Linked DNA regions of Oryzias latipes. The protein of the gene in region 1 interacts with the protein of each later gene in a pairwise test. Links are inferred from orthologs where the notes say so. Each region holds a gene or a part of one and is shown on either strand. Other genes may lie near its edges.

Region 1 (10,727 bases):
TGGCATTATTGTTCTTGTACTGACTATTCACCTGGCATATTGCCCGTTTCCCTTTGCCAGGTATGGGAGCTTGTCACCAAAAACGGTATTCCTTTTTCACCTTCTCAGCCCCCGCATGTACCTGTGCAAGGTTTTTTACTGATTCTGGAAGCTCCCAGTGAATTTTACCTGGTTGAAAGTTTGATGCAGTTGGCAACAACAAACCCACAAACATTGGAGATTGCAGGAAACCTGTCAGTCCCAACTTGTTCCATGCGCGTGCCCTAGACATCAAAGTGTAAATGCCGCATGATATCTTTGAAGTGGTTTCTGACCATAGCTTTTTTAGATCAGTGGATTTCCCATTTTCGCCAACCATCTTGCATCTTGCGTTTTGCATGGATGCAAGTTTTATCCCCCCCTCACAAGGAGGATGGCAATGAAGCCCATTAGTTCAGGGAGGGCCATGAACCAGCTGTCATCTTCTGTCTGACGTTCATGCTGAACAACACAGTCCCGAATAGTCTGAAGCATGTTCAGAGTGAGGAAACAGGAAACTCTGTAAGCGAGTCGACACCGTACTTCTGACCAAAGCAGTTGGCTCTTCCTCAGCAGTGTAACATTCAATTGTGTTGTGATGGAGAGGCCTCCCAACCTTTTCTGAATGCCACATTGTGCCATCTTTTGCCTTTTCTGTTGGCACAGTGTGTCTCCTCTCTGTCGTCCTCTCTTTTCTGATGGCAGTGAAATCTCCTCATCAGTGATCTGATTTCTGAGATCTGAGCAATGAAAACCTTCAGCAATGTAAAGATATATGTTGTTTCGTTTATTTTAAATTTTTTTTTTTTTGTTGAATTCTAGTTAAAATCTACAAATTCCAAAACATGTCAAATAGGCCTCCTTTGCCTCCCCAGTCCAAGAAACATGTGGTTAAATTAAATTACTCTTAATTTCTCCTAGGTGTGTATGTGAGTGTGCCTGGTTATTTATCTATGTGGCCCTGCAATGGACTGGTGACCCATCCAGGGTGTAGCCCTCCCCAGTTGCTTGTGACTACCTGGGATGTGCTCCAGCAGACCCCTGTGATCCTGACCAGGATGAGCAGGCCCAGAAAATAAATGGATAGACAACTGCTAGAATCAGCAAATGAGAACAAGATGTTCATGAAATCTTATCAAAAGAAATATCAGTCTGAGTCCAGCTAAAGGACTATCTCTTCTCCCTCAGAGTCAAATGGGTTGACTTGCTCCAGGATCATTTTCAATGTCTGCTCAGGGTAGTAAAAATAAGGCATCTTGGTTTTTCAGTTGACACACTGGGAGTCAAAGTTTGTCAGAGCTTGGAGGCTCTTTTGAAGCAGAAAAACCTCCCCCACCCTGATCAGAGTAAAGAATGTGGTTAGCTAGGACATGTCTTCATCCAGATGATCAGGTAGTTGGTGCTGCATTTACAAATGAAAGGTGGCTAATTGAAGGCTGTTGAATTAGGCTACGTTCACACTGCAGGCTGAAACGACCCAATTCCGAATTTTTTGCCCCTAAGCGGCCCAATTCCGATTTTTTCATGACAGTCTGAATGACACAGATCCGATCTTTTCAATTGCGACCCAGGCCCCGTGGGTTTGCCATCCTGATTCCGAATTGTAGCCGTTCTTTTCAATTGCGACCGCCGTCTGACCGGCCAGGCGACTTGATTCCGAACCGTACGTCATCGACACGCAACAAACGTCATCATTTTGCGTTGAAGTAGGCGGGAACGAGAACGTAAACATCAACCATGGTGGAGGATGCTGCTGAGAGACCAGTCAGTGGAAGGGAAGGGAGGTCACGGATTGGATTAATATTTGGGGTGATCGCTCTATTCAGGCCAAACTCCAGGGCTCTTATCGCAACTGGGCGGTTTTTGAAAAAATTTCCAGATAAATGGCCGAGCGTGGTGTTGAACCTTTCCCGCGATAACTTTTTTTTCTTTCTCCCCTTTGACTGTGCTCAGAAGCGCGGGGGACGCGAGGCGATCCTCCTCCTCCTCCCTGTTCTGATCCTTAGATTCTCCAGAACGGGTTAATAAAGAGTCCATAGCATTTATTTTGGGGGAAACCTTCTTTTATTACCGTCCTCCGTAACACACAACATGAATGCGCGCCCACACTGCCCCCCCCCCCCCCCCCCTATTCTCTATCGCGGCACGCGCTTGCACACACACACACGCGGGGGCGAGGCCCCAACACATACACATTCCTCTTCCACTACAGTGGGTACAGACGATCCCGACTCCAATGCCTTCTTAAAATGAGAAGATTGTAATTGTGCTGCTCCTTTGTGAAAATAAATGTAATATTACAAAAAGAGCTCCGCTTTTGACAACACTGTTGTTGACATCCATTGTTAACGTTGGCTCCGCAAACAACAAGTGACGTTGTTCACTGTTGAGTATTCTTCTAGCTTCTGCGCATGCGGGTCTCGTTTGGGTCGTGTCACGGTCACACTGGAGATCACAAAAGTTTGGATTTACTTGGAAATGTGAACGGTCTAGCAAACAAATCAGATTTTTTCAAAAAATCCGAATTGAGCATTAAGCCCTGCAGTGTGAATGTAGCCTTAAGGCCCGTTCACACCGGGACGAATTTCGCCGGCAATTTTCGCCGACGTTTAACGCCTCGTGACTAAACAAAGGGCACCAATGAGAGTGTGCACACCGACGCGAAAAAACGCCACGCGCCAAAGCGTCAAAAAAAAAAAACGCCTCGGGTTCGTTTTTTTTTTCGACGCGTCGTGTCGAAATCTATTCGACCAATGAGAATGCCGCTTTTGCACACGTGTCTGGAGCTTCTGAAGTTACAGTAAAACACAACTTGGGGGCGCTCAAACACAAAACTGCCTTGCTGAGCACACATACCAGCGAAGAAGATAGACGCCAAGTAGCGTCTACACTGCTGTGAAGAAATAATGACGGACATTCTTAAATATCCCCGAACCAAGTACCAGTTGGAGCTACTGATGCTTGAAATATTCATGTTTTCTTTGTATGATTCTGACAAGCGCGTAAATACTTGCTCACTTCTTCTGAGTGAAAAGCGACTTTAAGAAGCGTAAAGGTGCGCAGCGCCACCTTGTGTACAGGAGTATTTCTGTTTACATTAAGCGCCATCTAATGTCAGGGAATGAAATTGCATGTTCGCTCGGCTCACCGTCAGCGAAAATCGCCTGGGTGTGAACACAAAAAACGTGGCGAAAAACGCTGGCGAATAACGCCTGGCGAATATTCGTCCCGGTGTGTACGGGCCTTGAGTCATTTCGAGTCACCCAGCCATTTGGCTGTGCTCTGGACGCTGCAGGGGGAGTGAAGAATCCTGGGCGTTCTAGTGTTAAATCGTAACTAAATTCTTCACCTGAACTCAACCCAAAAATATTTTTTCAGTTATAGAAATTATTAAAACATCTTTGTTAAGAAACCACTCAGAAAAACTTGTTGACAGATCATTTGTGTGTTTGTATCTCAGAGTAATGCATGGAAGACGGTCTACCTCTGAATCCACACTTGAAGCATCTCCTGCTTCCGTTTTCCTTTTCTCTTTCTTGTCCTTCTTCTTCTCTTTTTTCTTCTTGGATTTCTTCTCCTTTTTCTTCTTTTTGCTCTTCAAAGATCCATCCTGGTAAATGTTTGAATTTAGTTCTTTAAATGGAACCTCAGTTTGTTTAAAAAATATATTTGAATTGAAATAAATACAATTAGCAGGAAAAGAGTGAAGCTGCCAAAATTCTGCATAAGCAAATTTTGAAGCCACTTCTGCAAACATGAAGATTTACCAGCAAACGTTTAGCTTGAGTACAGGAAAAAAAAAAACAACTACCCAATATGTTGACATAAAAAAACAAATAAGTTTTCATGGTTTAAAAAAGATGAAAACTGGTTTGCTGTGAAGCAGGTGGTTTTAAATTCTAAAATGATAAATAAAACTTTATTTCTCCGACAATGGCAAACTCAAAGCAGCATGTAAGGAAAAAAAGATGAAAATTAGATTAGGTAAATATAAAAATAAGGCATAAATACTTTCTTAAGAAATGTGCCACCATTGGCATGTTTCTTTAACAACCTATAGCTCTAGAAAATGATTAAACATGATTCACGTCCAACTGCAGTCATCTTTTGATCCATTTTCAAAGCATTCCCAGTGGTATTTTAATAATAATTATGCTCTTTTAGGCAAAAATTTATAAAATCTGTGTTGTTTTCTAGGACAGTTTCTGCAGGGTGGCAGGAGTTCATTAGAAATTCACCTCGGAGTTGTGGGTTGGACTGTTGAAGTGCGCTCATTACCCATGAACCCTTTGTTTACACTCCCTCCAGCTAGCTCACAGCCCCTCACAACCCCAATCTAACATTACCGGTGCAACAAAACTGGCGAGCAGTCGTCCAGTTTTAAGACAGATTTCAGCTCAGACTGTCTGCTCCTGATTCACAACAATATGAATACAGAAATACTCAGAAATGCATTTTTAATCTCAATTTTCTTGATATATTTTATTCAACATGAGAAAAATGCAACAAAAACATGTTAAAAACAACATAAATACTATACTCATTGGAGTGGGTCTTTAAATGATGTATTTCTGTCATTGTGCTGCTTATTAAATGTCTTTCTGAAGTGAAACAGATACAACTTACGTCTCCTAACTGCTCCAGTCTCTGGTTGACTTCAGGAAGTATCCAGGTGTCCTCTCCTCTCTGCCTCTTCAGCTCCTTTCTCCTCTCCTCCTTCTCATATTGTTGCTTAGCCTTAAAAAAAATAACATTTATTATAATATCTACAGCATACCAGTATTTGTGGTTTTACAGAAATGTACTCACACATTATGTTAAATTATGCTGAAGTGTCTAGAAATAAATGGTAACACTAAACAAAGATTTGAACAAAATCTAGACTTCACATACTATTTTGGGATTATAAGTATAAATGTGAGCTGGAAAATTGATTACGATTATATATTATATTCAGATTATAAAAACAGCACAGAAAGTAAAGAGATTTGGCTAAATATGTTTTGCTGTATATCGGTTGAAGATAAATGTATAGATTGAGTTTTCCTCAGTTCTGGGCTCCACTCGGTTGTTGTCAGTTTCCTGGCGCTTGCGCAGAACAGATAAGAGTCTACAACACATTTATGTGCATTTAAAGGGAACAGCTGTAAGTGCTGCGTAAATAGCTATGTTCATGTTTGAATACAGCTATTAAGATGTTCTTGTTTTCTATCTGTGGACAGTGAATAACTACAATCTGGACAAAATGTAAACACGAAAAAGACAGGCTGCCGCCGTCTGCTGTGCTATATCGGTCACTGACTTTCACCACTTTCAGTGTTTGTGTCATATTTCCCTGCAAGCGTTCAGGGAGCATGCAGCAATGGTCCAAACAGGAATAATCTGAAAAATGTCCCGACAAGCGCTTGCTTAAAACTTCATCACGACAGCAAACCTTCTCAAAACGTCACATAGTCCCGGTTGACTTGATCGTTGATGGTACCATCCTTAGCATGTCGGTTAGCAGGTCAATCAATGTAAACAAAAACAAACGGCGGCGCGGAAATACTTCACATCTGCGTTCTAAAGAGTCCTAGTTCGTACCTTTTGTATCGCCTCTTGTCGCGCCTGTCGTTTCTTTTCTTTCGCTTCTTCGATGTTGCTGGAACTCTCAAAACTGACTCCGTACGCCGCCATAACTACGTCGTACACGGGTCTAGCCAACTGTCGTAAAACATCGCTGTTTACGACAGTTGTTTTGTGGTTCTTGTAGTTCCATTAACCCTAACCCTTAATGCCTAATTTTCCAAAGAGCTAAATAAGATGATTATGATAAATATAAGGCCCACTATCATTATTTTGTTCTATAGTTTTCAAGCATTACATGTGCAAATTAGCGGCTTCAGTGTCCAATGCAGACCTCTCCCATCATCTGTTGTCACCGTTGTCAGTTCCTGGAGTCCAAACCAAAACGGAGAAGCTGCATTCAGCTTCTATGCTCCACAGATCTTCTGGAACAGACTTCAGGAAAGCCTTAGATCTGCTAAAACACTCAGTTTTTTTAAACCCATGTTAAAGGCCCACCTGTTCTCAACAGCATTTAATTAATTTAACTTCAAAAGTTTACATCAGCACCGTTACTCTAAGCTTATTTTAATTTCCGTTCTTTTTAACTTTCTTTAATTTTTATTTTAATAATCACCCCATTAATATCTCCAGTAAATGTTTCCTTTAATGTTTTATGTAAGGCACTTTGAACTACCTTTGTACATAAAATGTGCGAAACAAACTTGCTTTGAAAAAATAAAGTTTGATTGATTTGCCTTAATGTTGGAAATAAAACAAAAAATCTGTGCTGGCTGCTCTCAATTTAAAGTCCCTGATAATTTCAAAGCACAAACTGAACTTAAAAGGAGACCAAAAATCACTTAGATGTGTTTCTTTTTCATTTATTGAATGATTTTAAATCCAAGTTGAAAACTCCCTTTTTCCCTCTGTCTTTTAGCTCAGTATGAGTTGGTGATTTTATTGATGTTTCTTACTTTTTTATTATGTTGTTTATTTTAGATTGTTGTTTTTTTTTAATCTTTCATTGTTAAGTGTTTTAGTCAGCCTCTGCTGGGTTTTTTTTTAAAGCGCATTATAAATAAACTTGACTTGACTTGAATTTTTAAAGATAAAAGAAAAATAAAATGATTTTTAAAATATGAAATACCAACAAGCAAAAACGAACAAAAGAGTCACAAATATCAAAGCCCTGTAAAAGACAGTTTCTCAAAAATCTACATTTATTAATTTCTCTTAAAATCTCAACAAGAACATCTTTTCATTTTGTCTCACTGTTCTGTTTTTTGTTCTGCCAAGTTTTTATTCGCACAGACATATCTTTCTGCATTCATTCCTTCTGCAACACAACACACCAGTTGCCCTGGTCATGGTAACTGCTCTTCACTTTGACTCCAGACACCTGAGCACACAGATGCTCCAGCTCCCCCTGCTGGAAAACATGGTAATAGCGATGAAAAACTGGAACTGTGCTACTCTCCAGTTTCAAAGCAGAAGCTGAAGCCTGAGGGAATGCTGGACTCAGCTTAGCATCTGCACGCTGGGAGGAGTTTGAGTCCGACCCCAGGCTTGAGTCGGGGCTGGAGCTTAAGTCAGGGTTTTCCTCTAGCTGCGATTTCCCTCCCTTAAGATGCCAGGGAACCAAAAGATCCTGGGAAGTAAAGGCTGTGCGGTTGGTGTGCACACTGAGGCGAGCATCAGGAACTCTACTAACACCTTGCATGTCAGAAGGTTTATGGCTGTTTTCTAAGTGGCAGGAAAGATCAGATACTTTTTCTCCACTGGATTTCTGGCTCTTTTCTGACAGTAAGTTGGTGGAACTGAACTCTCCATGGTCTTCTTTGAAGATTTGCTTGAGGTATTTGGACTTCTGCTTGTTGTATTCTTGTTCAAAAGCCCAAACATAGATAAGTGCCTGACCTCCAGGCTTCAAAAGTCTCACCAGCTCCTTCACTGCTGCCAGTCGGCGCTCCTGGTAAATACAGGAAAAACATTCAAACTCATTATTTCAACAAGACTTTCGATTAAAAAAATCTAAATTTGACAACAAAACAATATAAAAATGGAACTTTGTTGCACATCAAGGCTAGACAAACTTGGAACTTTAACATTTATAGAAATATTCATTAGCTGGACCAACAAACCTCATTGTAATTTAAAAAACTATTAAGCTTTTGTCAAATTTAAATATTTTCCACACTCAATAAAAATGTCATAGCTATATGTAACATAAAATAATAATAACTATAGTTTTATTACCTATTTTGAACCATTTGTTATTATAATGTGAGAAAAATTACTGCTGCATCTCAAAGATGGCGTTTTGTAGTTAATAGAATTTTTTTTTTTTTCCATCTGAGATTTTAGTATTTTTTAAAGCCATTTTCCCACATAACTCATTGTCTGCAGATCTTTGTGGGTCTAACAAAAAAAAGAGGCAATGATTGTCACATGTCAATCATCTTTGTATGAAAATGTGGAGAACATACCGCAGTGGAAAAATGATGAATGACCGCGATGGAAATGCAGGCGTCACACGACGCCGTTCGCAGGGGAACGCTGAGGGCGTCTGACACAAACGCATGATAACCCCTCGCGGCGCAGATCTGAACAAGAGCAGTGCTGCGATCACAACCCACCTGAAGGCAAATAGACACAAGAAAGACAAGCTTCAGCTGAAGACACAACAACTGTAAGAGGAACACACAAGCAGGAAATAAGAACAAAAATGACTTCAAATACCAAAAGAAGGATTTTTTTTAGTTAGTTTAGTTGTCTTAGTTACTTTAAATGATTTTTCTTTCATTACTGGAGTGATACCAATCATTCTGTCCATGTCTGTAAACACAAATGGACCCGAACAAACAATCATGTTTTAAATTGAATCTTATTCTAAACGGCAGCTGAAGACACTGAGGTGCTTTGTAGGAGACAAAAATGGAAAGGATTAAACAGAGAAAAGCAGGGGAGGAGGAAATAGAAAAAAAAAGAGGAATTATCCTCGGAAATTGGTGTGTGACCTGCATAATCACAATGTTCTCAGTGTTGATTTATAACAGCTACGCCTGGAGTCGGCATAAGCTGCTTAAATGCACGTCCCAGATCCCAAATATGAATATCCCCCATGTGCACACGTAAACAGAAAATGAGGAAATTACCATGGAAACCAAGCTAATGAATGCGATGTAATCAAAGCAGGGATCTCCAAAAACCTCTGTGACAGCTGTTGTTGAATGGATGTATTTGTCATTCAGGACAACTACACAACTTTTACAAAATACAACAAAACTGTTCAACTGCATTGTTTCTTCTAAGAAAACCTTTCACCACCTAACTAAAAGTCCCACTCCAATCATCTTTTGATCTTTTGTAAAATCCTTCCCAGTGGTCTATTAATTATGATGGTGCTGTTTTTAGCCCAAAATAAAAAAAACTGTCTTTTTCTAGGCCTAGGGAATCGTTTCTGCAGAGCTGCAGTATTTAATCAAACCCCCTCCAGTGAAAATAGTGTTTTTGGTGTTTTTAACATGTTCTTGTAGCATTTTTCTGATGATGGAGGACAAATATAAAAAAAAAATTAAACTTCAAAATTGCATTTCTGAGTATTTCTTTATTTAAATCATTCTGAATCAGAATCGTAATTGTGAGGTAGAAAATAAGCTGGACGGGTCACAAGTTTCCTACTCCGCTCCATTCTGATGCATCCACTTGTAGACAAGTAGATCCATTAACGTCATCATTTTCCTCGCCTGAGCTGCCCTTTGACACAAAACTGTACGGCTCGATTGCTCCAACAATGCTCGCCTTTTTTCTGCATGGCTCATGTTAGGTTGGCGTTGCGAGGAGCCGTAATCTAGCGGGAGAAAGTGTAAACCAGGCCTTGATGGGATATCAGCGCAAGCTAACAGTCCCACCAACAGCTCAGAGGCGAATTCCTGTTGAACTGCTGCTGTTCTGCAGAAACTATGTCCTACAAAACGACACAGGTATTTTGATTAAAAACATCATGATCATAATTAATAGACCTCTGGTAATGCTTACAAAATAGATCAGAAGATGATCGGAGTGGGGGTTTAGAAATTCACCTGAGTCGGCACAGAGAGAAGACTACAGTTTCCTGTCAGGTGTCTTACACTGAAACTTGAATATGTGCAGGAACGTTCAGTTCATTATGTATGAGCAACATTTTGCCCAGAAGAGGAAGTCAGAGTGCAGAGAAGAAGCACTGTCCTGTTTGCTGCAGCAATGGAGGAGCGTCTGTGAGTGGAGGGAGTGTTATGATGTGGGACACCATCATACTGGAAAATGAGAAGCAGATGAGTAACATTGGCTACGGATGGCTGCATTCCTGCTGCAGCCCAGGCTCCTTTTAAAAAGGATGTGCAGTATCATAAAGGATGGGGTAGTTCTGGACCTCTGTGATCAGCCTCTCGTCGTCTATGGTGTTAAACGACCACTATGATGCTCTATCACACCCTTTGTGGCCCCATGTCAGCGGAAATGACGTAATGCTTACACCACGGTGGAAACAGCGGAAAAAAGGGTTTTATTTTGAAAAATGCGCCGGATGCACTTTCCACTCGCTCGCATGATTTCCGGTTTAGGTTGTTTCATTTGCCTCAACTTTGCAAAAAAATGCTCCAGCTCGCTTGGAGAAGCCGTGGGAGTGCCTCCCGCACTTTTCCAGCTACCTAAAGACTCCGGCGGCCGCACCAGAGCTGGACTGGATGCAGTGTGAGCCCAGGGCACGGCTTCTTGAAGGAAATCCTGAAGTAGAACCTTCAGGTAAAATTTGACTGTGAGGAACCCTTAGAACTTACATCTACACATTAAGACTTTTAAAGCTAAAGTTAGAATCCCATCAGTTGTTGCATACCTGGGTGTGCCACATTTGTTCTCTGCACATGACCCCTCCCCTGGGGGAGCAGTGAGCTGCAGGCTCAAACACAATCCAACCCCTTAGTGTCAAACAGGGAGGCATTGGATCAGATTTTTATAAATCTCTGTATGATTCAACTATTGATTTGAATTCACAACTTCTAGTCTCAGGGTGGACACTCTACCACAAGGCCACTGAGTCTTTCAGAGAGAGATGAAAATGTCAAATTTGAAGCATCAAATAATTTTGCTAAATGTTCTTCTACTCACAGTGACTAAATCGGCGT
Region 2 (10,775 bases), on another chromosome or scaffold:
GGCCTTGGAGGCAGAGACATTTATTTGAAGCAAAGCGATCAGTTCTGGCTCCAGAAGCTCTCCAAATGTGAGGAGAGGGTATCGCATATACACAACAGGTCAGAAAAGTCCACAACCAGGAAGCCAGCAGCCTCCACAGGATGTGCTTTTAGCAGACGTGCACTGTGAATGAAGCTCGTGTGAATCACCACAATCTGGTAAAATGAAAATGAACTCGTATTTTAACTGTCCAGAGAGAAAACCCTGCAAACGCTTGAAACTTTGTCAGGAAGTCACAGGAAACAAGATGAGAGAGCAGTGAAGATTTCAAACACACTTTATAGTCATTAAGTTTTTGAAATAATTGCCAAATGAAAACGGTTTCCTTTTACAAAACTGTAGGAAAAATGTTTTTGGGTTATTTAAGGTTAAATTTGCTCTTACACAATAAAATTGGCCAAAACAAATAAGCATGCTTTTACTTTCTATACCAACACATATCCCCAGAAAGCAGAAAAGATGGAGATTTTTTTTATTATTATGTTTGTGCTGCTTATGTTATCATCTCTTTCCATTTGCTTCTTACTTCTTGCTTGCACTTTTTTCCCATCTTTTCCCTACATTATTATTATTTTTCCTTCCATTTTAGAGAATAAGCTCAAAGGAACCTAGTCATACAATCAGAGGAGGTTTATATAAGCTAACCTCTGATGTGCCCAAGGAAGAGTTTACTTAAAGACCCATGTCAATGAAAATTGTGTTTTGGTGTTTTCAACATGTTTTTGTAGCATTTTTCCCATAATGGAGGAGATTTCTAAAAGAATTTAACATTAAAACTGCATTTCTGAGTATTCCTTTATCAAAATTGTATTGAATTTGGAGCAGACGAAAACAATGTTTAAAAAAAACCTGACTTATGATGCAGCGACTGCCGTGAGCGGGCTAAAGTCTCACTTTTTGCGGTCCAATTCTAAATCATTCATTTTCAGACATATAGATCTATGTACATTTTCATTTCCTCGTCTAAGCTGCCATCTGGCTCTAAACTGTGCGGCTGGATACCTCCGATATTGCTTGCTGTTACTTTTGCCATACTAATGTTAGCTTGGGCATGTCACTAGTGGGAGATAATGTAAACAAAGACATGTTGGGAAATTAGCTAGGCTAACTTTTGTGCCAACAACCCAAAAACGAATTTCTAATGAGCCCCTTCAGGTCTGCAGAAAATATCTCTTAAAAACAGCACAGGCTTTTAAATTATAGCTAAATATTGCATAATCCTAATTAGAAGACCCCAATTTTGTTCTCACATAATGTTTTAGCTGTTTGGCTATATTTTGAAATGTGACTTGTAGGCAGACATAAAAATTTTTATCCTTAAATTTTTTTTGCAACTCTTAGTCTCAATAAAAATGAGATGCTTCTTCATAATCAGTCACTGTGGTGATTTCAGGAATTTTTAGTTGAACTCTCCTCATCCCAGAGTGCCTCATCTTCTAAAAACCTATAAATCTGTTTCCACATGCCCCCTCAAGTGTCCGCCCCCCTTACTGAAATGACAGCTAATCTGCAGACTGTGTCACTAGAAAACGCAGCCGAGGAACAGGAGGAGCGCTGAGTGAGGACGGACTGTCTTTCAGAGGTCTGGAACTTAGATTAGGGAGCAGAAAGCAGTACGTGTGGTCACCGCTGCTTCATTAGGAGGAGCTGCCTTTGAGAGGCAGGCTGGGGTTTCATCCAGCACCACTGACACATGCACGCTCGATTTCACCAAGTCCACAGCTCTTCTCCCCCCGATCATCCCAGCTGCATGTCGTCCTTCTCAACCACAAGTTGCTCCAAGCTCAAAAGTAACGAGGCGCAAAAAATGTCAGTCTGGAGAGAAAATTTGGAATATTTAGCATCTTCTATACGTGGTACCTTGTTGGCAGGATGGCTCAATTTTTTCATGCTCCACAAATATTTAAAACAACATTTTGTTCCTGGAAAAGTAAATTTTTCTATTTATCTCCTTGGAGAAAAAATACATTGTTTTTGTGGCAGCTGATCGATCTTTGTTAAACTTAAAATGCTAGACTGGTGAATTTATGAAGTTTAGTCAAACATCGTCTGACAATGTTTGGTCCATCCCAGCTGGATTTGAATGCTAGAAAGTAGCACACCTGTCTCTCTGTGAGGTCCAAGTTAACGGCGATCTCGTAGCGCCGCAGTCGGGTCAGGTAGTTGTGGTGGGTGAACTCGGCTTCTAGCTCTCTCAGCTGCTCTTTAGTGAACGCTGTGCGCTCTTTCCTTGCTTTGCAGCTGGAATCCACTTTAAATCCAGATTCCTGGATATCTGCAAAAAACAAAACAAAAAAGAAAGGTTTAGTTCACCTGTTTGTACCCTCCAAAAAACTGCATTTTCTTGACACATTTCTTTTTTTGACTTCTTGCATTTACAGCCGACCTGATTAGAAAAAGATCTCAGTGTTTTTCATCTTCCAAGCAGTCCTGAAGGACCTTTCAAACCAACTCTGAAGGCTGTTTAACAGGAGGCCCTTTTATACAGCAAACATTAAAACTTGTGTTTAAAGGAGACCACCGTCACGCACCATTAGGAGTTCTGTTCACCTGTAGTTGCAGCGTTTTTCACCTCAAAGGTTACAGCAAAAGTTCGGCTTGCATTTATGCATGTTGTGTGTGTAAAAAAAAAATGCTAGAGAAAGCATGGACACCGGGTTGGGGGCCGCCACTCCACACAGAGACCACAGAGGGACCAAGTTAAGGGAGGAATGCAGCGGAACGTCGTAAAGGTCTTGAACAAAAGAACAAAGGTGCGGATGTGTCCAGGGTCTTCTGGGTTTGAGCGTGTGTATTTGTGTGTGTCGCATCGGCATGACCTTATCGCTGTGTGACAGGCTGCACTAAAAAAGAAAAAAATCTCCATGAATGTAGGTGAATGGTGAATTTTCTCATTTCAGATTCAAATGTAAAAGAGATTATTTTAATTTTACTTTTTGTTTAGTTTTCTTCCTAAAACATCAGAAAGTTTTTTTAAAATATTTTTAAACATGTGCAATAGCTGGTTGATTCAAATTTCAACTTTGTGCAGTTTTGTGCAGCAGTAGCGACACCAGCAGCTGATGTAATCTCTACAAAATGGTTCTAATTTGTCAAAGTGAAAAGTTTAGCAGTGAGCCTGCCAGAGCAGTGGGCCAGAATGAAAAAATTGACCGCAACACCTCGTCCAGATGTGTGACTGTGTGTCTGTGCACATGTGTGTTTGTGCACGCCTTGTTTTGTTTTCCAGCAAAATGCTCCTGATGGAGCCCCGGTGTTACTGGGGGTTTGGACCTGGAGTGGTTTCAAACAGGTTTACAGTTAGGCTGAACACCTGGTGGGGCAAGCACAGGCTTTCACTAAACAGGCCCCCAATAAATATCCAGCACAGCGGGAGGCCGTAAACTCTCATGGATGGGCCTTCTGCGCCCAGCGGGGTCCCACAGGAAAATACCATTTGGTGCTTTGTGGGTGGATGGTGCAAAGGCACTTTGTCTCAATGAAGATGCAATTAAAGCTGCTTGCTGTCAGTTGGCGTCTGATTGCTACAACTTTAGCGTTTGTATGCTCGGATTAATTAGCAAGTACATGTAAACACTTACACCCTTTTTTTTTTTAGTATTGATTAGTTCATAAATCAGTTTATTCTGGCAGTTTTGAAAAATCTGATAGAAAAAAAGACGTTAATGTTTCTCTTTTTTGAAAAAACTAAATAAGGATTTATGCTTATTTAATCCAGATACATTAATCATGATTAAAAAAATGATTTATTGGTCTATTAAACAAAAACAAAAAGTATGGATCAATTTTACATATTTATCCCTTGTGCTATCTTAGATGACCCCACCCTTACATTGACGTGTTATCCCTACCATGACAAAGGTGGATAAAGGTGGAAAGATTTCATGTAATCCATGGACACCAGTGAAGATCATAAATCATTGAAGAAAAAAGGTTCAGAGCACTGTCTAGTGGGTCTAGATGACACAACTCCCAATGTTAAAGTGCCTAGGATAGCACAAGGGTTACAACAACTTCGCCCTCTGTGTCAGTTCTTGGACCTATTTATCTTGGATAAAAATTAATATAAGTAGATTTAAACTTCAAATCAGGTTTTTTTTTTCTAGTCAAAATATCTGTTGAATTCAGTTTGCATTACATTAGTCAGGTTTTGGACTAAAGTGCACACTTCAAATCCTATTAGTTTTGGTCACATCTCTCCAGTTTTGGTGCATTGGGGTGTCTGCAGAAACTCCCATCAGCTGTCTGTGTCCGCAGTGCCCTCAGGCCTTTTTCCTTACGCGGTCTCTCCTACCAGCTTGTCAATTTTTAAAAAGGAAATAGCTCTTTTCTGAAGCGGAGAGCTGATGTCGTGGTCAGACATGCTGCATGCACTCAGTGAGAGATTGTGTTACGCTTTAATGACAGGAAAATGTCAATGGATAAGAATGTAAGAAGTGGGCTTGCAGGGAAGTGACTTTAGCAGACGTGGTCTGGCACATTTTCAGGTTAGAGAGTGGAAGTTACAATAAGGTAAGTTGGGGTCTTCCATCGTCTTTTTTGTCATTGTTTAGCAATGTTAATTTCAAAAACAGAATTTTTTATTTGTTTTGAAATTTTTGCCATTTTACAACTATGAATGATGAATAAGCAGAATTAAAAGATCATTTTTATCTGTCAAATTAAAATACTCTAATTATGTGCTTACGCCCTTCTTTTTTTTTAACATTTTTAAAGTGTATTTATTTGGTACATATATGAATAAAATGTTTAATACAATTATCTTGCCCCTGATAGCTTTTTATGGTCTACCAATATTTATTCAACACCCCAAAAAAACATACATATTTCGGAATAAAAACAATATTCTGACAGGCAAACAGCAACTACAAACAAAAGAGAAATACACAGAGTAGCTGCTTTGTTGTGAAATGTTCTGGAAGTTACAGTCTGATTATGAGTTGCTGCTTTAAAGTGCAAAATATTCACTTCTGAATAACAAAGAACAGCATTTTTGTATTTTCTGAAGTCATGAACCTAAGATGGATCTTTGTGGATATGAGGCTGAATGGAACATTTTAGTCTTTTAAAGCTTTTTCATCATAACAGGATGGGCTTCTTTAACAGCACATTTTCACCTTTAAGTCATACTGTTAGTCTGATTTGGTGTGCCAAAAAGTGAATCAGCTACAATAAGGAGCATGGAAAAGTTTTATGAACCCAACACTGTTCTGGTAAATATCATCCCTGAATTATTTGTTTTTAATATTTTTTCTTATTAGAAAAATGTGAAACAACGATTAGTCATGAGATTTTGGCAACTCAAGAAGGTTTGGTTAACTTTTTTCTTTCTCTATATTGATGTTCACCAGAGATCAGCAGAAATAAGTAAAATTTCCAGGAGAAATACTGTTATTCCGAAATTTGAGTTTTGTTTGGTTTTCCTCATGTCGTCTGGATTATTTCCACCTGTCTCACCTGTGATGTCTTTCTTCCTCTTACTCGAGCTCTTCTTGTCGGAATCAGCTGACGCCACGCTCTGCGGTGAGTATTCTCCCTCCAGGCACGTGGAAACCCTTCCTGGCAGCCTGTCGCTCACTCCGTTGTCCAGTTCCTGCCCGCCACTTCCGCCTCCACTAACCACGGCCGGAGCCACAGGTGGGCAGGCCTCGGGCGCTCTCACCCTGGTCTCACAGGGGTTGAACTGCCAGTCGGCTCTCTGATAGCCTCCTGGGCTCTCTTGGTAGAGTCTGTTGTCACGCGGGTAGGCGGCGTGCGGCGCGGCCGGCACCAGGCAGGAGCTGGAGAAGTCCGTGTAAGCCAGAAAGTCAGGCTTCTGGTGAAGGGCGAAAGGGGCCTGCTGGTAAGGTGACTGCAGGTTGGCTCCAGGGACCCCAGAGTGTGGATTCCTCATGCAGCCCCAGATGGGGCTGCCGGGATGGGCGCTCCGCATGCAGCTGCTGGCCGGCTGATCCATGACGATGCAAACCCACTGGACACGCTCTTGAGCAAAGCCTCTGAAAAGAGCCCCTCGATAGGTCTGTGAGAAACGAACACTTCAGCTGACTGATCCCACCTCATGGGCGTCTCATTGCATCTGCCGGTGGAATACTCACGTCTGTCTGATATTGCTGCCTTTTCCACTGCTCAGAATGCGTGAGGATGAACGCCTTCCTATGGCAGCGGGTTTCCACGTCTCAGTGGGAGTGTGCGTGACGTCTGGTCCAGACACACTTTTTTCTGTGTCCTTCTCACACCTCTTTCCCTCAAGGCTCTGACTGGCTGTGGATCAGCGTGAGAGCTTCATCTGCAACTGCATGACCCCCCCTTTTTTGAGGGGGGGGGGGGGGGCTGGCTGTTTTCACAACTCCTCTGAGGCATTCTTGACAAGTGAACCCTCCTCCTTTTTAAACATATAGGTGGGAAAGAGTGGCAAGTTTATGGAGTGAAATCTGAGCCTGCAGGGGAGGAGCCTGCTGGCCACATGTTGGTGGTACCCTCCAAACAACCCTTCCTCATCAACTATTAATCACAGGGGAAATTTTATATGCACATCTAATGAGCTTTCCAGACGTGGGGCTTTTTAAAGGGACATTGTCCCAGAAGTTGAAAAGCAAGCCCCCACCCATGTGGGAACTGGGGGGGCTGACAGATTTCAACTCCTTAGTGCTTTCTGACACCCAATTTAGTTCCTTTTTTGACACCCTTTGGAGGAAAGTTTTCCCTCCGAACCCTGATCTCAGTCTATCCTCTCCATATTAAATCTCCTTTCCTGTTTCTCTTTTTTATGGCATGTGCAAAATAATGCCACCTGGTTGGACTGACCGTTCACACCTTCCGGCAAAACCCCGGATAGCCATATTTCACCACAACCAGCTCATCTCAAAGTCTTCCATTTCTATTTAGAACTCCTTGCTCTTCCTGTAAGGAGCCTCTTTCAGCATCTGTGTGTGACAGTGCTCGCGTGCAGATCCAGACAGGACCTGCCCTTACTCCATTTTCTGATCACTGATTTTTAATTCCTGCATGCTTACCTAAGACACAAGTCACTTCCTCATGAAGTCATGTCTCTAATACCATGAAAAGCTTTTTTGGCTAAACATTGGACTTCAATTCAGCATATCTCCTACCCAATAAACCCACTGAACCACACTGCACTCAAAAACAGGTTTTTTTTCAAGCTTCTTCCATTTTTGAGTTGAGGTTTGCCCTCCCCACGCGTTTCAATTTTACTGTTGACATCCCAGTGAAGGGGGGATGGAATCACACTTTTACTGACAGAAAATAATGAAAAAAAGCTCTGAAGTAGGAGAACACGAAAGCAAAACACTGAAAAAAAAGGGGTTAACCTGTGAGCGAAAAATTATTGTGTTGATTTTGTCTTCTCAAATAAACAAAAAAAAGCCCCCCAAAAAGGGCAAAGCAAGAAAAAAAAGAGATTTTATCAGAAAGCCATAGTGCTGACACAATCTGTGGACAAAATGAAATAAAGAGCCAGAAAGGGGAGTGTTTGAGGTCCCAGGAAAAGCCTTTCCATTTAGCCAGTAGATTGTTGAGCCATGAAGCATCCCTGGTTTTTACCGGCAGGCCTGATGTCACTGCAGGGAACTGGGGTAATGCTGCATTTGTGCTCAGAGTGGGGGCTATCTGTATGTCAGTGGAAATTAAAGGGTGTCTGTGCAATGTGAATGTATGCATCATTTTGTTTGCATGGAGTCCAAAGAAAATTAATGAGAAGTTTGCAGTTGTTACAGAATGTGGAGTAAGGATTAAGATGCTATAAGAAGTAAAACAAAATCCTGACAAACATTTTTCTATTCTTGCATTCTACAGTTAAGACAACGTCACATCTGCCAATAAGGCCAACAGACATACTTCACTGTTTAGCAGCTTTTCTGTACTGGCGCCAGTTTGTGTTCTTAGTTTTATGGGGATTTATTTTTTAGGCAGGTGTGAAACTCTGTCAAGGACCAAACACGGACCCTTGTGAGACAAGGTCACCATCGAAAGGCTTGACTATGAGAACTTGACCAAATGAGTGTAATGTCACTGGCGGCACTCATATCATATCATATCATATCAGTTCCGACCAAATCAAGTCAATTCTGCCAACACATTTTCGTGATATGAGTGCCGCCATGTTGGAGCCAGTAAGCAGTGATTGGTCCGAGATGGTCTGAGTCATCATTTCTATGGCAACCACTCTCATTATGCAGGAGTGAGCTTGTTTGTGTTTGAGTTTGCACATGCAGTTTTAGAACAAACGTTCTGCCAGAAGATATCCATAAAGTATGTAAAAAATCTGACCAAAGATCTTGACTGACAAAACTGTGATGGATGCACATCAAACTTAAAGACAAAGCCACAGTGATCAATGTGGTAGCTCTGGTATGAAGAATTATAAGAGGCCTAGAAAACAGCTTTAAGACAAGGCAGAAAGAAACTAAAAGTAAAGCCATCAGGGTGAACAATGACGACAGTTCTAACTCCCTTAGTGAAAATGCAGAATATCCCAATAAATTCTAAAACTGTAGCAGAGTTAATATATCACAATTTATTTGAAGAGTATGACTTTGAAAATACTTTGTCTGAATTGCTGACGTCGCAACCTTGTTGGGACACGGTGGCCATCCAACCGCCCACTATTCCACCCATCTGGACCACACAGGGTTGCATGGCACTCATCAGTGAACAATGCTGTTTGAAAATGAGTGTTCATGTATGTCTAGGCCCACTGCGGCCATTTCTGTTTTTGAGTGTTGTTTAGGGGTGGCCGAAAACAAGGTTTCCTTATAACTGCAAGCCTCTGGAGGATCCTACACCTTAATGTTTGTGGGTCTCCAGAGAGACCAGCAGCTGCTATTCCGACATCCTGCAAAAAAAATTACACAAAAAGCAGAAACTCTCCAAAAACTCAAAAGTTCAATGAGTGCAAGAATTGTGAAGCTGTTGCAAAATATGGAGTCCTATGTTCAAATGTAGCTTAACTGATTAAGATGTTATTGATTGGAATAGCTTTAGATTTCAGTAAATATGACCTCCTAAAATTCAACAAATTACCATTTTCAGTTATCAAGAATTTATTAAAATGTTGATGAACTCTGTTCTGTGTAATTAAGGGGGAACACTGCTTTTTAAGGTTATTATTTTTCGAAGTAAACGGTTATCTTTAGGAGATTGATTTAATAACATTTAGTATATACTCTAATGGTTACTGTAGTTAGTTGAAAATTATGCTGACTTTTATTTGCATTGAGTATTTAGAAAAATAGACTTTGCATAATAATATGGACATTTGTGGCTTGTTGTATCTGGTGTTATGCTGTTAACAAAACTATAGAAGGTTGAAATTGTGAATTTATATTTCTATTTTTTGGACATAGTTTGTTGGATAGTTGTAAGCAAAAATTATAAATTGATATGTTTTAGTCAGGGCAAGATTTAATATTCATACTGTATTTTTCCACCTTAATCGATTATAATAGTTCATAGTTCTAGATTGTATGATGAATACTTTCTCTGTAAATACTATAAGAAAAACTGGACTTTTAAGAAGATTTTTACACTTTTTTGGTTGCCACTAAACAGCTGTAGCTAAGGTTTTGTGAGGTTGTGTTGCATGTGGACTCAGTCATACACACCGATAAATGAGCTGGACATGAGTCACATCACCCCACAACCTGTTACTGTCAGTCCAGCAGCGAGTGCGTGTCAGGATGTGCGCACAGCCAGGGATAGCGAAACAATTCTGCCTCAGAAAAACAACATTCAAATTTGGGTGCATTTTTTGTTGCTGTTCCTTTGCAGTGGTGCCTTAAATGTTGTTTAGTTTATGCATGACCTTGTTTGTGTGTATTTGCGCATGTGTGTTTAAAACTGATCCATCTTTTTGACACTTGCCAGAATGAAGAACGCCATCACTCTCTTGAGGATGACAGCAAGAGTTCTTGTGACCCCGACTTAACCTAAATTTTGTGGGAGCGTCAGACATATACCACTCTGCACACATGTGGGGCCTGATGTTAAAGCGGAGCGATGTGAAGGGAATTCCGAAAACATACAACACAAGACCAAAAAAAAAAAAAAGAAAAGATAATCCAACCAACAGGCGGATTAACAGCAAGAGTGCCACTCACTGCTTATATATATAGCATATTTTCCGCACTATGATAAAAATGATAAAAACCCTATTTTTTGTGTTCTTTATCATCCAGAATGGCTTATATATGGATTAAGCCTGGTTGTGCTAAATGAAGCGTTTTTGATAGGGATGCAGCACTCTATCAAGATGTCTATCTGTTTTTTTACATGTTGCAAATGAGGTTGGTGTTTTTGTAAAAATGCTAACGCGGCTAAATGGATTGCAGTGTCAGACTGTTTTTTTTTTTTTGCGTGTTACTAAAAAATATTTGCAGTGATAGATGTTGTGAATACGCTAATTGTTCAAAACTCAGATGACAGAATTATCTCTCAAACACCTTCCATCCAACACATCACACATGTTCTGCAGCAGCTCGATTGGCTACTGATCACACACCGGATTACATACAAAATACTTCTCCTGACTTTTAAATCCAACCACAACCTTGCCCCCTCATATCTATCAGATTTTGTTCATGTCGCCACACCCAACCGTACCCTCAGATCCTCCTCCTGCCTTCATCTGGATGTCCCCACTGCTCGCCTTGTCACTATGGGAAACAGAGCTTTCAGCTGCTCTGCCCCGAGGCTCTGGAACTCACTACCTCCTGACCTCA

Evidence for each region. The genes of interacting proteins can lie anywhere in the genome.
Region 2: the proteins of cwf19l2 (region 1) and meox1 interact in binary tests that used the Homo sapiens proteins (3 or more experiments, as listed by UniProt). The two-hybrid records come from large-scale screens. The link is inferred for Oryzias latipes from reciprocal best matches to the Homo sapiens genes CWF19L2 and MEOX1.

What each region holds. Positions count from the first base shown.
Region 1 is NC_019871.2:20,778,942-20,789,668, reverse strand, and holds the start of cwf19l2 (CWF19-like protein 2), read right to left. Parts: upstream 5,734-10,727; 5' UTR 5,695-5,733; coding exon 5,602-5,694; intron 4,756-5,601; coding exon 4,645-4,755; intron 3,629-4,644; coding exon 3,503-3,628; intron 1-3,502. Other genes in the region: alkbh8 (alkylated DNA repair protein alkB homolog 8), read right to left, coding at 6,893-7,534, 8,052-8,201, 10,711-10,727.
Region 2 is NC_019877.2:18,101,787-18,112,561, reverse strand, and holds the start of meox1 (homeobox protein MOX-1), read right to left. Parts: upstream 6,364-10,775; 5' UTR 6,135-6,363; intron 6,059-6,134; 5' UTR 5,996-6,058; coding exon 5,497-5,995; intron 2,315-5,496; coding exon 2,142-2,314; intron 1-2,141. UniProt on the Homo sapiens protein: Mesodermal transcription factor that plays a key role in somitogenesis and is specifically required for sclerotome development. Required for maintenance of the sclerotome polarity and formation of the cranio-cervical joints.